Rhinolophus ferrumequinum: one gene and its partner. The protein of the gene in region 1 interacts with the protein of each later gene in a pairwise test. Links are inferred from orthologs where the notes say so. Each region holds a gene or a part of one and is shown on either strand. Other genes may lie near its edges.

Evidence for each region. The genes of interacting proteins can lie anywhere in the genome.
Region 2: the proteins of FURIN (region 1) and MARCHF1 interact in a protein complementation assay, tested with the Homo sapiens proteins (2 studies listed by BioGRID). The link is inferred for Rhinolophus ferrumequinum from reciprocal best matches to the Homo sapiens genes FURIN and MARCHF1.

Annotation. Positions count from the first base shown.
Region 1 is NC_046311.1:3,746,771-3,753,685, reverse strand, and holds the start of FURIN (furin), read right to left. Parts: upstream 3,002-6,915; 5' UTR 2,629-3,001; intron 15-2,628; exon of another isoform or gene 1-14. UniProt on the Homo sapiens protein: Ubiquitous endoprotease within constitutive secretory pathways capable of cleavage at the RX(K/R)R consensus motif. Mediates processing of TGFB1, an essential step in TGF-beta-1 activation.
Region 2 is NC_046301.1:52,394,374-52,401,903, reverse strand, and holds the start of MARCHF1 (E3 ubiquitin-protein ligase MARCHF1), read right to left. Parts: upstream 3,002-7,530; 5' UTR 2,196-3,001; intron 1-2,195. UniProt on the Homo sapiens protein: E3 ubiquitin-protein ligase that mediates ubiquitination of TFRC, CD86, FAS and MHC class II proteins, such as HLA-DR alpha and beta, and promotes their subsequent endocytosis and sorting to lysosomes via multivesicular bodies.

The DNA of each region.
Region 1 (6,915 bases):
TTTAACTTTTTTTTTTTTTTGAACACCAACCGCCTGCCAGGCACCAGGCCAGTCACTTTACATTATCTCCTTATGTACATTATTTAATCCACATAATCCTTTCAAGCTGACATTATTAATCCCATTTTACAGATAAGCAAACTGAGGCGCACAAAGCTTAAATAATTTGCCCAAGGTACCAAACCAGCAGGCCTCAGAGCCTGGAAGAGGTGTGGGGCTTTGGCAGAGTCTGGATCCCAGTACTTGCAATATACCAGCCGACTCCCCTCCCTCCCTGGGTTCCTGCCCTAGAAAACGTCTGTGCTACTTGGCGAGGCGGCCCTTGCTTGAGCTGAGAAAGAAAAGAGGGGAAATGTGGCCAAGAGCTCCCCAGGCTAGGTTATTCCAAGGTCACAGAGCAGTCTCTGCCCATCCCTTCCTGTTCACTGTGAGATAACGTGGCAGCACAGTATTATCCTGTGGCCTCCTTAACACAGGTTTGGGGACAATGATAAAAACGAACACCGCCCAGTGCTTACTAGGAGCCAGGTGCTGTTCTGAGCTCTTTCCATGTAACTCATTTCTTCCTCACCACAACCCCCATGAGGGTATAAATACATTTTCCTTTAGGCACCTTTTATGTATCACTGTCTACATTTTACACAGCACAAAACCAAGGCCAGAGAGTTGTAGTAATATTCCTAAGGACTCACTATGTGACAAGTCAACCAACAAACCTGGTTTCATATCCCTGTAGCACTCTTTTCCATTATGCCACCTTAGACATATTACTTAACTCTGAGCCTCAACTTACCCCTCTGTAAAATGGAGATAATATTCAACTAATGGGCTAAGATACCATTTGGGCACCCTTACAAATTCTGCAAAAACCGGAAACTTCAGAAGAATGTGGGGTCCTGAAAGGTGGGCTGGGACATAAGTCCGGTTGGCTCCCTCTGGGAGAGGGAACTTGCCCCGATAAGGAGCTAAGATCGTAGGGGCCACCCTGGGGTAGCCCCCACCACAGTGCCAGCCACTCTTGGGAAAAAATACTTCTATAGTCTGATTGAAGCAGGAAGTGAGTCACGGTTTCTCCTTAGTCTGTGAGCAAGAGAATCCCATTGAGGGAAACGTGGGACAGGACTGGCCCCACCTAGTCTCGGAGTCTTCAGTGCCCTTCCCACTTGTCCTCTGGCCTAGAAGAAAGGTCAACCCGGACAGAAAGCAATACTGGCTGCCTCTAGGTGCCCCACCCATCCTGGAGGCTGGGCTGCAGGGGAGCAGTGGGTCTGAGGAGGAAGAGGAGGAAGGAAGAGCTCTGTCTCAGATGGATGCCACCCGCAGCAGAGGCATGGGAGTTCCCAGTTCATCCCCGCCAGGCTGGCCCAGCAAGGCTGCCTTTGGCAGAGGCAGAATCCTTGAACTGTGTTGCTCAGACGTGCATCACAGGGGAGAGGAGAGCACTGAGCAAGTGAGCACCGGGCCTTGCTTCGCCCTGAGCTTCCCACCTTTGTCCCTCTCTTATTTTAGGGTTTCACGTGTGATTGTATCTTATTACAACTCTGTTGCTAAAAAGAATTTGGAAGCCATTCTCCTTGAGACCCCTCTGGAGGGAACAGCCCTCTGGAGGGTCCCAAGCTTGCCTCGTCTGGTGACTGCTAGCCACTGGAACAAGTCCTGTATTATTCTCTTTATCACCCCCAAGGGTTCAGCTGAGGCTTTAAGGCCGAGGGAGCGAAAGCACCTGGAGCCCAGGTCCCCTGACTTAGGAGCCCAAGGGCCTCTGGATCACAGTTTATTAGATCTAACAGCAGTCCACAGGATGGGGACACCACGTGGGGTGACGAGGGAGGGAGGACGACTGGTGGGCAGGAGCAGGCCGCTGGGTAAGGCCTGAGGGAGGAAGGGGCTATGAAGGGCCTCCCACCTTCGCAGCAGGGGTCGGGGAGGAAGGGGCCAGCCAGCCATGCCTCTTTATCCTTGGACTTGGGGCTGACCTGGGAGGCTCCCAAGAGCAACCCTAGGCCTATAGTTAAATCTACCAGGTCAACCTCACTCCAGGAACTCCCCGTGTCCCACTGGAATGCTCTTGGGGGGTCCCTTTCTCTCAAAACCTCTTCCCCGCTTTCAGGCTCCTCAAACAAAGCTTTCGGCAGCAGCACCCACACCTGGTTTTCATCAAAATGTCTACACCACATGCATACATGCAAAGGAGGGCACACAACAAAATATAAGTGGTGTTTTCTCTGAAAGGGTGGGATTTGCAAGCTTTTTTGTTTTCTTCTTGCTTACCCACATTTTCAAGAATGTCTATAATCTCTTTTATAATAAAATAATTGAACCTCGAAGTCATGCAAAATTGAATAAAGCATGGCCACACTTCACCATTTAGCTCCAGCATCCCTGGAGTCCGTCCTGACCACCGCTAGGGCACCTCAGCCCCTCCTATCCCTTCCCAAGGCAGGACCCTTCCAGTTCTGGCTAAACCACTTTGGGAAAACTTCCTTTGTATGACAGGCCAACAGGGTGTCTGTGGGCGGGGGGAGGAGCTAGGAGGGATTTGGTGGCGATGCACCTGGTCCGGTGGGGACAGGAGCCCGGCATGGCCAGCCCTCGTCCTCCCAGTTACAGGGGTGGGTCTGCACTTACCTTTTAGTAACTGGCTCTGCCGAATCCCAGATTCACTGGTCGGTTTAATGGCTCCCTTCTTCTGCCTCTGTGTCTTCTGCGTCGCCTTCAAAGCCCAGCCAGTGCTACCCAGAACTGGGCACCTAACAGGTGAGCAGTCTAGTGTGACAGACATTCATCGAGCACGTGCTGAGTGCTGGGCCCTGGTGCCTCAGGCGAGGGCCTTCGCCTTTGTCCCCAGGAAGCCCGCTCAGGTAGAGCCGGAAGGAGGTACCTGAGACCGCCAGGGTCTTCCTGAATCTGTCCTACTATGTGGCCTTGCAGCTCCAGGAGGCCTCTGCCCTTCCTTCCTCGATTCAGAAAAGTGAAACAGCTAATTATCGTGACTTCTTGTTGACTCTTCCAACCAGTTCTGTTTTCCGGAACGGGTTTCTCAACTTCGGCACACTGACATCTTGGGCTGGATCATTCTTTTTCGTGGGAAGTGTCCTGTGCATTGTAGGATGTTTAGCAACATCCTGGTCTCAAAACGCAAGGTGTCAGCACCCCCACACCCATTAGCACAAACAAAATTGTCACCAGGCATTGCCAAATGTCCCCTGGGGGGCAAAACTGTCCCTAGCTGAGAACCACTGATCCAGAGTGAGGAATGGGAATGGCACAGGAGGTGGGCGGTGTGCAGCGTGCCAGGCGACAGGAGTCGTCTGCTGGGAACTGTGCACCGAGACAGCTGGCAGCGAGCGAGAAACTCCCCAACCCCAAACAGCCAGGCATGGCAATGCAACAATGGAGCCATTTAGTGTTCAGGGCAAACAGTCCTATGTCTCTCCACGACATCTGAGGACATGGCTTTCAGTAACGTTAACCATCATGCTGAATCAAGGAACAATCCCATTGATCACACTCTGTTTCCAAGTGGGGAAGTCGGTGAGACAGCTCTGCATTAAATATGTGTTTAGAAGGCAGACCGGTGGTTGCTGGGAAGGGGGATGGCGGCAGGGGGGGGCGCAGGAGGAATCTTCTGGGAGTGATGGATATGTTCATTATCTAGATTGTGGTGATGGTTTCACGGATGTGTGCAAACGTCAAAACAGATCAAGTTGTACACTTTAAATACACGCAGTTTATCGTGTGTCAGTTATAACTTAATAAAACTGTTTTTAAAATGTATCAAGTTTAAGTGCTTGAAAGCCATTATTTTCAAAATTTACTCACATGAGGTAGCCCGTTTCTTGACTGTGCCAGATAAAGCTGATGGTGGTGGGGTCACGGTAGTACTTCAAACAAACAAACAAAGAAACAGAAAAAAAGGAGAAAATGATCATGGGCCTCAAGGCTGATGCGAGAGAAGAGAGAGGAGGGAAAGGGGTGCTGAGAACACAGGGCCCAGGGCTCCCTCGGTGAAGCCAGTGAGACTGCCTGCCGGGTAGGGGAAGCATCAGACTTTTCCGTTGGATGATACCATCAAACCGACGTGTCTGGAGCGGTATTGTCAGGGGCTTGGGAAAATAGAATAACAAATGTGGTGCTGGCTGCCAGCAAAGGAACAAATGATTCTGGGAATTACAGGCTCCTCCACTATCTTTAATCCTTAAAACAAACATTGCCGGGGAAAAGTCAGTTAATACCTGGAGGAGGCGGGGCAAGGTACACCTGGGGAGCAGGCTGCCCAGTGCCACCTGCACCTTAAAGGTGCCCGTGCGCTCTGCCTAAGGGGGTGCACTTGGCAGAGAGGGGTGCCAGAGACGCCAGGTGAAAGAACTGTGGGCGGCAAACAGTGAGGGGCCCCTCACTGACAGTTCCAGGGCCTTTTAGCGGAAGGAGACCTCCATGGGAGTTCCCAGCAGCCCCTGAGTGAGGCTGGGGAGTGAGAGACCTTGTGATGGGGATATTATGTGTGACAATAAAAACCTCCGTGGAGGACTGACTGTGCAGCAGGCGTTTCATTTGTTCATTCCGCAGACACTGACTGAGCACCTGTTGGGTGTAGGCCCTCGCCCAGTGCTCCAGGGGGAGGCAGCAGGTAAACAGGCCTGTTTCTAAGAGAAGTTCAGATTATGTAAAAGTGATATGGTAGTGCCCGGGGGAGGGGGAGGGCAACTGCCCCTGCAGTGGTCAGGGAAGGCCTCTCAGAGGAGGTGATATTTGAGCTGAAGTTCAAGAAAGGGGCAAAGGTGTGAAGGCGTGAGGCGTGGAGAGTGTGTCCCAGGCGTGGGAAACCAGGGGGATACCGGCCTGCTGTGTGAGCTCCAGCGCTGGGTGAGCAGACACTTGTCAGCGTGCGGTGGGAGGGGGTACGAGTGGGGAGAGGTGAGCTGAGAGGGGTAGACAAGGGCTAGATCATGGAGCATGTGGCCGGCTTCTCAGGACGTGGAACTGAATTCTTGGAGCAGCGGACAGTTTTTGGACAATTTTACTCATTTACCCTTTTGAAAGGCCCCTCTGACTACCGTGGGGGCTGAGTGGGAGCCCCCCCACAGCCCTTTGCAGGAGACACAAACAGTGACCCCCACAACCCATGTTACACACTGGGTGGCCGACAGGCTTGGGGAATTGGGGAAATCGAGTGACTTTCATAAGCCAGTAATTGGGTTTGTGGGCTCCTGAGCAGGCCTGGGAAGGAGGGGGTGCCACCCATCACCCTGGGAAGCCAGAGCCTCTGCAGGCAGAGAGCTGGCTGGCCAGGCCTGGAGTCCCACTGCCCCACCACTTGGATGGGCTCACATGCTTCTCCCTAATCCATACGTATGTGGGTGTCTTTAGCAGAAAACTTGGCAACAAGGGGTGCTTTGAGTCAGCAGCTAAGACTCAGAGCGCTCATTCACTCATTCGTCTCAGGCACTGTGCTAAGTACTTTACGCTGATGATCTCATTTATGGCTCATAACAACCCTAAGGCAGGCAGTTATCATCCCCATTTTACAGATTAGGAAACTGAGACCTGAGAGCTTGCTGGGAGTTAGGAAGAAGATCCAGGGTTTGAACCTCGGGAGTGAGAATGGAAAGCTTTCTGCCTCTAGAAGCGGAAGAACTACGGCTGAATCGAGCGGCCCGTCCCCTCCTCAGGCACTGTGATGTGGGCAACTCTGCTCTGATTCACATTTGACATTTTCTTGGATGAGACTGTTCACCTGCATCCTCCCAGGAGTCCTTGCTGATACTTCTGTAATGTGCGTGCCACTGAACCGATGACCTGCCCCTTCTCCTGCACAAACCTTGTGGGCAGTGGTCCAGTGTGCAGGTTACCAGCCCAGCCCTGGACTCATATCCAGCTCTGAAATGCTTGAATGCCCCCTGGGCAAATGACTTAACCTCCTGGGGCCTCATCTGAGTTTCCTTATCTGTAAAAGGCGGCACAAGCTACCCAGCTGATGAGGTGACACCTGTAAAGGGCTCAGCCTGGCCTGCGATGATGGCTAGTGTGACCACGTTACAGCCTCCTTCGTGTTAAGGCAGGAATGCCCTTCCAGGGGGCTGGCTGTGGAGGCTTTTTTTTAACATTTCCACACTGTCCTAAACCCAGGCTTTCCTGGAAGAAATCTCTGCCCTCACTGCAGCTCTTCCTGTGGTGCTGTTGGGCGATTGTTTTCCTAGGCAGAGAGCTGCCAGCCCCTCTGCATTGCTGTTTGGTCCCTGGGTGGCCTACGAGGTGCCTTGTACCCATTTCGCAAGCTGTCTGCTCCTTTGTCCTCGTCCTTCTAAGGTCAGAGGTCAGCAGACAGTCCTCTGTGGCAGTGTTTCCCAACTTGTTCACCTCGGGACATACAGAATGTGTGGTCAGCCGGCTGTGGCGAATGGACCAGGCTAATGGAGGCTGACCCGGCCTTGCTGGCAGCTGCCACCCTGCACGCTGATGCCTGCTTGGGGGCTGGAGGCTCGAGAGACCATTTCAGACACACGAGTGGGCAGTGCTTTCTACGGGGCGCCTGGCAGTCTGGCCACATGGGGACAGGTGGCTGTGCCGTCTCCCAACGCCGGCCACACCACTGTGCTTGCTAAATTGTCTTCCCATAGAGTGCTGGCAGGGTTGGTCTTCCTGACCTTCTTGTTTTTAGAGAGAATACCTTCCAGATAGTCTTATAGGAAGACGGTCTGGGAAGCAACAGAGCTCTTCACCCCCAACACCGGGTCTCGAACCTGAGACTTGTTCATTGGCTTTGTGGGAAAGAGACTCTCATGGCCTCCCCAGTGCTGACCAAGGTACATGATTTCTGTCCCATTAGGTACACATTCCTCATAATAGCTTTCATGCAACCATCCCCCCAAAACGATGCAACGGTCAAAACTATATAGAAAAACACACACAAAG
Region 2 (7,530 bases), on another chromosome or scaffold:
CAAACTGGAAAAGTGAAAGCAAGAAACCACCAAACAGTACAAACTTATTCCTCGTACATAATCTTTCCTTGATAATCTCCCAGTGTTCTGACATAATCCTCTGTTCCATGACCTTGAACATCACCATTGCCTACTGTGGGCAACATACCATAGTGTGTTTTGTCTTCTGATGCGACTCCATCCTCCTGTCCTCTTTCCAAATTAAGAGTCCTTGTGGAATAAAATAGTCAAAATATTTGTGAAATATTAAAGAATATTAGGAGACTATTCTCTAGTTCAAGGACATTATTTTATTTCATATGTTTTTAAAAATAACAACTACCTCAAATCATACGGATTTATAAGATGCTTACGCTTTCTGAGAACTTTCCTTATATATTCTAGTGTATGTGTAGTGAAGGACCAGAGCATTTTTTGCCTTCTTGGATATTTTTGAAATAAAAGATTTCAGACATAAAATATAACCGCTTATCCCTAAAGTACATTTTTACTTACCACCTACAGGGGGTAAAACATCTTATTGTTAAAGGAAATATTATTTGCCAAAACCCATGAGCCAAATACCACATACCTCCTGCTTTGTTGCCTGATTCTCTAATTGATTATATATTTTATATAAATGTATATTTTTATGTCAGGTACACCACATCACATAAGCACATCAGCAGACAGTATGTTCGCTCTGCTAGTTCCAAAAAGAGATTCTGTTATTACAATATTTAAGGAAAGCAGCCAATATGAGCAACAGGTCCTATAAGAACCTTCATGTAAAGCTTCTTAAGCTTCACTATAAAGAGATGAGTATAATAAAGTTAGAAAGAAAGAAAACTTTTGAAGAAACAGGTGGAGCCCTTTGTGATCGGAAGTCAGGAAACAAACAATGGAATAAAAATTACTTCTGAATCACAGGAGAAAATGTTGCTGGAAACCCCAGAAATCCTGAATAAAGATCTCTCTTTGATCATAATGTTGGTCTCTCAACCTAACATAACATAATCAAACATTTAATTATGCACTTCCGGGAAGGAGAGACAAGTGTCTAAAAGCCACAATGAGCTTTTCCAAAAGCACAACTGATGTGACATCCTCTGATACCCATCTTAGTCCCACAACTTATTTATATTTAGTAAAACCTCCTGGTATTATCTCACCCAGTTCCTTTTTACTTTCACCACATTTCTTATCTCAATAATTTTCTATCGTGTCTTTTCTGAAAAGACCTCTAACTTTATCAGAAGAGCAATCACTGATCAAGAAAGTTTACCTTGATATTTCTGTTTTTAAAAAGCTTCACTAGGATCACTTATCTTTAAAGAAAGATAAACAATCTAAAAGAAAACCAGTAAGCTTTTTTCAGAAAACAAAAATAAAACGATCTTTTTAATTATAACTCTAATTGTTACTTTCTTATATCCTAGCATTATCTTAGATGCTGGAATATCAAACTTGTATACCAAAAATCACCTTAGTATTCATGGATCGTCCATTATACACTAAATTCATGAATATAAAATAGCTCTTAAAATTTTAAATATTTTAGATTGCGGCGGATGAAATTCCCCCAAAAGTAACTGGATCCCAACGTAGCAAACTCTCACTTCTTTACACCTTTCTCACAAAGTGTTTCTTTTGTAAATAAGTTGACATTTAAATCAAACATTCCAATAGATACAGTCACTTCTCCGTGATCTGAAAATTGGACTCTTACCAAAGAGAATTCATTGATTAAACGTGTGGGGAGCCGACAGGTAACGAACGAGGAGGCGTGGGTAATGGCACGTTGGCTTTCTAGTACTTACACGCAGCACGACTCTAAACTAAGGTCCCTGAGCCAGTTCCAAGTCTTTTCTCTTTAAGCTCTAAAGCTCTGTAATAAAACATACCGATTTCAAAACTGTTTAGCAAGCAAACCTCTTGTGGAACTACTGCCTAACAGGGGTTGCCAGGAAGACGCGGATCTCCCTAACTATATATTGGAGCTGCCTCTCACTCCATACACCCTGCAACAAATACTCCTCGAGATAAGCACGTAAGAAACCGGGGGGAGAGGGGGAGCGATAGTGAGTCTCCCCAAGTTTGCTCTTTCACTCATACCACTGGCCAACAGAACTTGGGCGTCTATCTGCCTCAATTGGTCACTTCACTTCCTGGAGCTTAAGAAGCTCGCTCGGCGCCTGGAGAACTGCGACACTCACCGTGGGCGCAGGACCCTCTGGCGTCTGAAGTCCCAGCGTCTTAAGTTCCACCCGCAGCAGGAACACAATGGCATCCCTCGCCCAGGCGGGTGGGTGCGTGAGACCTGGATCCCACTCGACGGTGGCGGAGAGCCTTACTCAGGTCTGCGCGCATCAGCGTTAAACCCAAGACAAAGGCTGCCCTCGGTGGCCCGTGGCGCGCGCCCTCCCTGGGCAGTCGGTGCCGGTCCTCCGCAAGCCGACACCGGTAGCTGGTGAGCCGGTAAAGTGGCTCTCATCGGTTCCGCGCTTTTCGAGGGGTGCGGTTCGGTGACTGGTACCAAGCTGGTGGACACAGCGCGCGGCGCACCGGGATCTACCCGAAACGAGTTGCGCGCAGGGCGGGCGCAGGCTGCCAATAGAGGAAACGACCCCTGGTCGCCGGCTTCAATAGCCTCCACTCACCAGAGCGGCGCCCACAAGGAGTCGGGTCCTAGCACCCACCACGAACCTCAGCCAGGAGTCTCAGCTCCTCTGCAGACCCACCGGGCAAAGGCACCTGCTGCCCGTGCTCCGGGTCTGGTGCTTTGCCCAGCCCCGCTGGCGGGTCAAGGACGCAGGCGCCCGGGTAGGCGAGCGGAGGAGGGTGCGGACACCGGGTGAAGCTAATTGAAGGATCTTCGCAATCACTCACCGGCTGAGGGCGAAGTAGCTCAGGCGGCCAACCGGCTGCGCACAACGAGCATCCCCGGGCTCAGGCATCCTCCCACCCTTTGTCAATAGCGGGCGGAGCGCTCCTCCCCAGCTTGCGGACGTGCAGCTGGGTGGCGGGCAGCCCGGCTCTGGCTCTGCTCCCCAGCCCTCTCCCCTCCTCTCCTCCCCCTCCCATTCTCCGTCCCCCTCTCGCAGCCGGCACTCACTCAGCTCCCATGATGTCATCCGGTGGAAATCTGCCATGCTCAAAGACTGGAATAATCCAGCGCACACGCGGGGAACGCAACGCGGGCGGAGGCGGCAGCAGAGGCTTTAGGCGTACCCAGAACCTGCCGGGCCAGGATAACTGCAGTCAAGGACAGCACAGAGGATGGGTCTGCGGAAAGGAGGCTCCGAAGGTGTGCGTAGGCAGGGTGGGCGTGGTGGGGATAGAGCCCCAGGACGAAAAGTGAGGTCGCTGCTGCAAAGATTTCTAACTCGGTGTTTAGACTGATTACAGATGCTAAGGGTCAGGAGAAAGTTTTCTTGGCTTCTCGGCAGCTCCTGCGCCCCAGCACGGTGATAGACACCTATGCCGCAGCCCGCGGAATAACTAGAACCCCTGGGACTCCAGAGCCTTAGCCTCAGTGAGAAAGTTTAGGATGTCTAGCCGATGGAGCAGCTAAAGGGATGAAGAAAAAAGAGTGCACTGTGTATGGACGAAATAATCTGAAGCAAAGCATTGTTTTGTTTGGGGGTGGGAGGCGACGCGACGACCTTTCAAACCATTAATACCGTACCGCAAGACCGCTGCTCCCAAGCAAGACGCCGAGAGCAGAAATTCACCCGTGGCCCTAGTGTTTTTCCTTCTTTCCTACCCACCAAATACTATTGGACACTCTGGAGGTGACTTCCTGTGGCCTCCCCCAAGGATTGTTGTCGCTGATAAAACAATTCAAATCACAAGGAGTTCATTAAGAGCCATAGAAGATGTGTTGACAATTCTTTTATGCTTAATATTCTTTATAATAGCAATAGGTGTTTTATTAGAGGAATAAACAAACAGCCTCAGTACTTTGGAAGATTCCCCTGTAGTAATGGATGGACACAGACACACACACACACACACACACACACACACACACACACACACACACACACACACCAGATCTGAGATCCAGCCCTACATCAATCTACAGCGACTTCATGTTACAAACTCTCACAGTTCAGAGAACAGATCCCAACAACTGACAGGTTATTCTCTTTTCAATCAAGGAGTCTCTTGAAATCCCCAGGGTGACCTACCACTAAGACCCCTGAGGGAAACAGAGGAGAGCACCAACAACAGGTGCTGATTAGGCAGGCTTACCTGACAGTGCCTGGGTAGGAACACATTGACTCTGCCAGAGGGTTCATCCACAGTCATCCTTTAGAAGTATAGAGAACAGGAATGGCATTTATTGCAAATATGGGTACAATTAGAAACATACTGATCTTTGTAAACACAAAGAGGACTCAATATAATGACAACCACTTGAAGGCTAGCCACTGTATTAAATAAGTTTGTTAATGCATTATGAAACTGTGAAATCCACTGGGATTTATCTTAGGAAAAAGTAATAAGTGTGAAAAAAAATTATTTTTTTACAGGATCAGAAATTATTGTTAAAATAAATTATCAAAAAGGCCATGGTGCCCATAGTTTGGAAGTAATAGGGGAAATCTAAAAGTGTTAACTTGCATTTATTTACTCTCAAATTAAAATATTTTCGGTATCAATATATATCATTATTAATATATATTACAAAGATATATTTAGCACCCTTGTTAACATCCTTACCTTTTTTAAAGATTAAAAAAATATGTTAAGGATAGTCACTTATCCTTTCCTCCAAATCAAAGTACAAAAGAACATATAAAATGCATGAACAACTTTTACAGATGAGTATTTATAAATATCAAAATAATGAAGATTTTAAAAAGCAGGGCAACTAGGAAGTAAACTGGATGAAGAAAAAAACAACTAAGAGAGGTAAGAATTTGGTAATGTAAGCAATGACCGTTTTTGAGAATAGACAAACGATCTAATTGCTTGAAAAAAAAAGTAATTACAACTGCTAATGATGCTGTTCCAAGTATATCAGAAGGTCAAGTTGTAAACCTTCCTTACTAGATTGCTTCTCTGATGCCCCATCTATCTTCATTGCCTCTGTTTATCTTGCTGTGCTTCAGCATTCTCCGGACTAATGCACAAGGATGGAGTCGAGAAGGTCAAAGGCAGTCAGCAGATCTGGGGAACTTAGACAAATAACCAAAAAGATCAGAAAATGGATCCCTCCACTTTTTTTTTTTTTAAATCACTCTTCTAAAGAGTTAAAGCAAACTCTACATCACGTTGTATACCTTAAACTTACACAGTGCTATATGTCCATTATATCTCAACAAACCTAGAAAAACTTTAAAAAAACAAACCTGTGTCTCGTACTTTAAGGATAACAACACGCATTCACACAAGATCATTTATCTAAGTCCAATAGAAAAGTCTTCAGTTATATGATTCTGGCATTCTTTGAGAAGGAAAAGTACTGTGCAGGGGTTTTCACTGTGGACCTTCATCTTCGCAAAGTGAATTTACTCATCTCTACAAGAACTTCTTTCCCAGTGTGTGTTAAACTACCAAGAGCCTTGCCTGTGTGTCACTGACATTTCCCATTTCTAATGCATGCTTTTTCTTTATTTGCAATTTTTAAGTCATACTCTGAATATTTTAGGATATTTTTATCCTAAAAATGGATGGCTATAAATAACTAAAATAAAACATCCAATTGCTACATTGAAAACGTATCATCATTCTTAGAAAAAAAATTTACATTTGAACTCTTACACACCTAACTTATATTCTAATCTTGTTTAAATGGGGAACATATTAAGCCGTGGAGTTGAAGATGTAGAGTAGAAATATTAACTCTGCCTCAATTATTGATGCTCTGCTACACTGTTTTCATACTGAGAAGTGATTCCCTTCACAGAAACAGTGACTGGGTGGGGGAAAAATAGACACATTTTAGTATTTTCCCTTGTGGGTTTCACAAAATATAAAACAAATTTATATTCTGGTTTCATCTGAAACTCATTAATAGCTAGTGACTTTTTAAAAACAAGTTTTTCTAGATATGAATTTGTTAACTGTTGATAAATAACAACTAATAAGCAAAACTAATATCATTAAGTTCTTATTATATGACAAGTACTGTGCTAAGTGCTTACATGCATTATTAGTCCATTTGATCTTTAAATTTACCCCCACAACATAAATGTCTTAGTAACCTTTCTTGAAGATGAGGAATTCGATATCTAGATTGGTTACGAAAATCGTTCAAGCAACTAAACTAGAAACAAGTCAAATTTAAGATTCTGTTCTATTAGCCTAAATACATACTAACAATAGCCCTAGTAATAGCATACTAGCACCTTTTACATAAGTCTTGCTCTGAAACAATGAAAGCATGGTGATTATATATGTTCTATTTGGTGTGGTGGACAACATGCTTCTGCCATCAGTTACCACATCCATCATGAACTTTATTTCCATTATCCCTGTTAGTGAAATGTTTCCAAAGTTATTTACAAAGAAAAAGAATCTCAGGATTCCACATCAATTTGAGTGTCTAATCTATCGTTAAACGCTTTTCAGATGTAAAGCAAGGTGAAGTGATTTTGTACTTAAAGACAGATCACAGAAAAATGAAATAAAAAGAAAAGGAACCGTAAACCATTAATTTAAATAAAGACAAAGACCACCTCAGCAACTACCTTCTCTGTACAATTAATCCATTAGTGGGTCTGGGAAGGCAAACTACATCACCCATTCAAATGAAGGTTTTCTTCCCTACAGTGAATATTAACACAGAAAATAAATCATTTTATATATTGTATCTCAAAGGCCCCATATGTTTTTATCATAGAAAGTAATAGTCCCTGGGCACAGATGTATAACCAAGCTTCTTTAAATAGAAAAAATTTAGTATAGATTTTTTTCAAAATCCTTTTTTATCTTACCTTTTTGATAATTGGCTGAAGTTCAGCAACTCTGCTAACAAGCATTAGTTAAATGGATTTGTGGAAAGGTTACAAGGTACACATAAGAGTTTCACTCTTTCAAGGTGTGCTGCTAACCTAGCTCTTTGTATTAATTTCTCATTTATGAAAAACAATGTAAACAAGTAATGGGAATCTTTATATCCGTAAGATGTGTTAGCAGGCATAATGTATTGCACACGTGTGATCTATTTTGATTTTGGCTGCAGCATGTTATGCTGTCATTAAACATCCTTATTTTATAGGACAGGTGGCCCATCCCATGTCCTTCTGCTCATTTTCCAGTTGCTCTGTCTCTAGTGCTAGTCTGTGGCACTAACATGATGGAGAACTGGTCATAGAGGAGCTGCTCTTGTTTAAAGGTAGAGGAACGGATGAGGAAAAGTTCTCTTGAAATGGACACACTTCTTGTGGAAAGGAAAAGGAAACTCTATGTATAGTAATAGGAGGCTATCAAAAAATTTATGTATATAATTTCTTCTCAAATAAAGGAATTTGAAGAGTAGAGATGCTGGCTTACCTAAGCATATGTCAGTTCTTCATCATCTTCAATTGGATTGTTTCG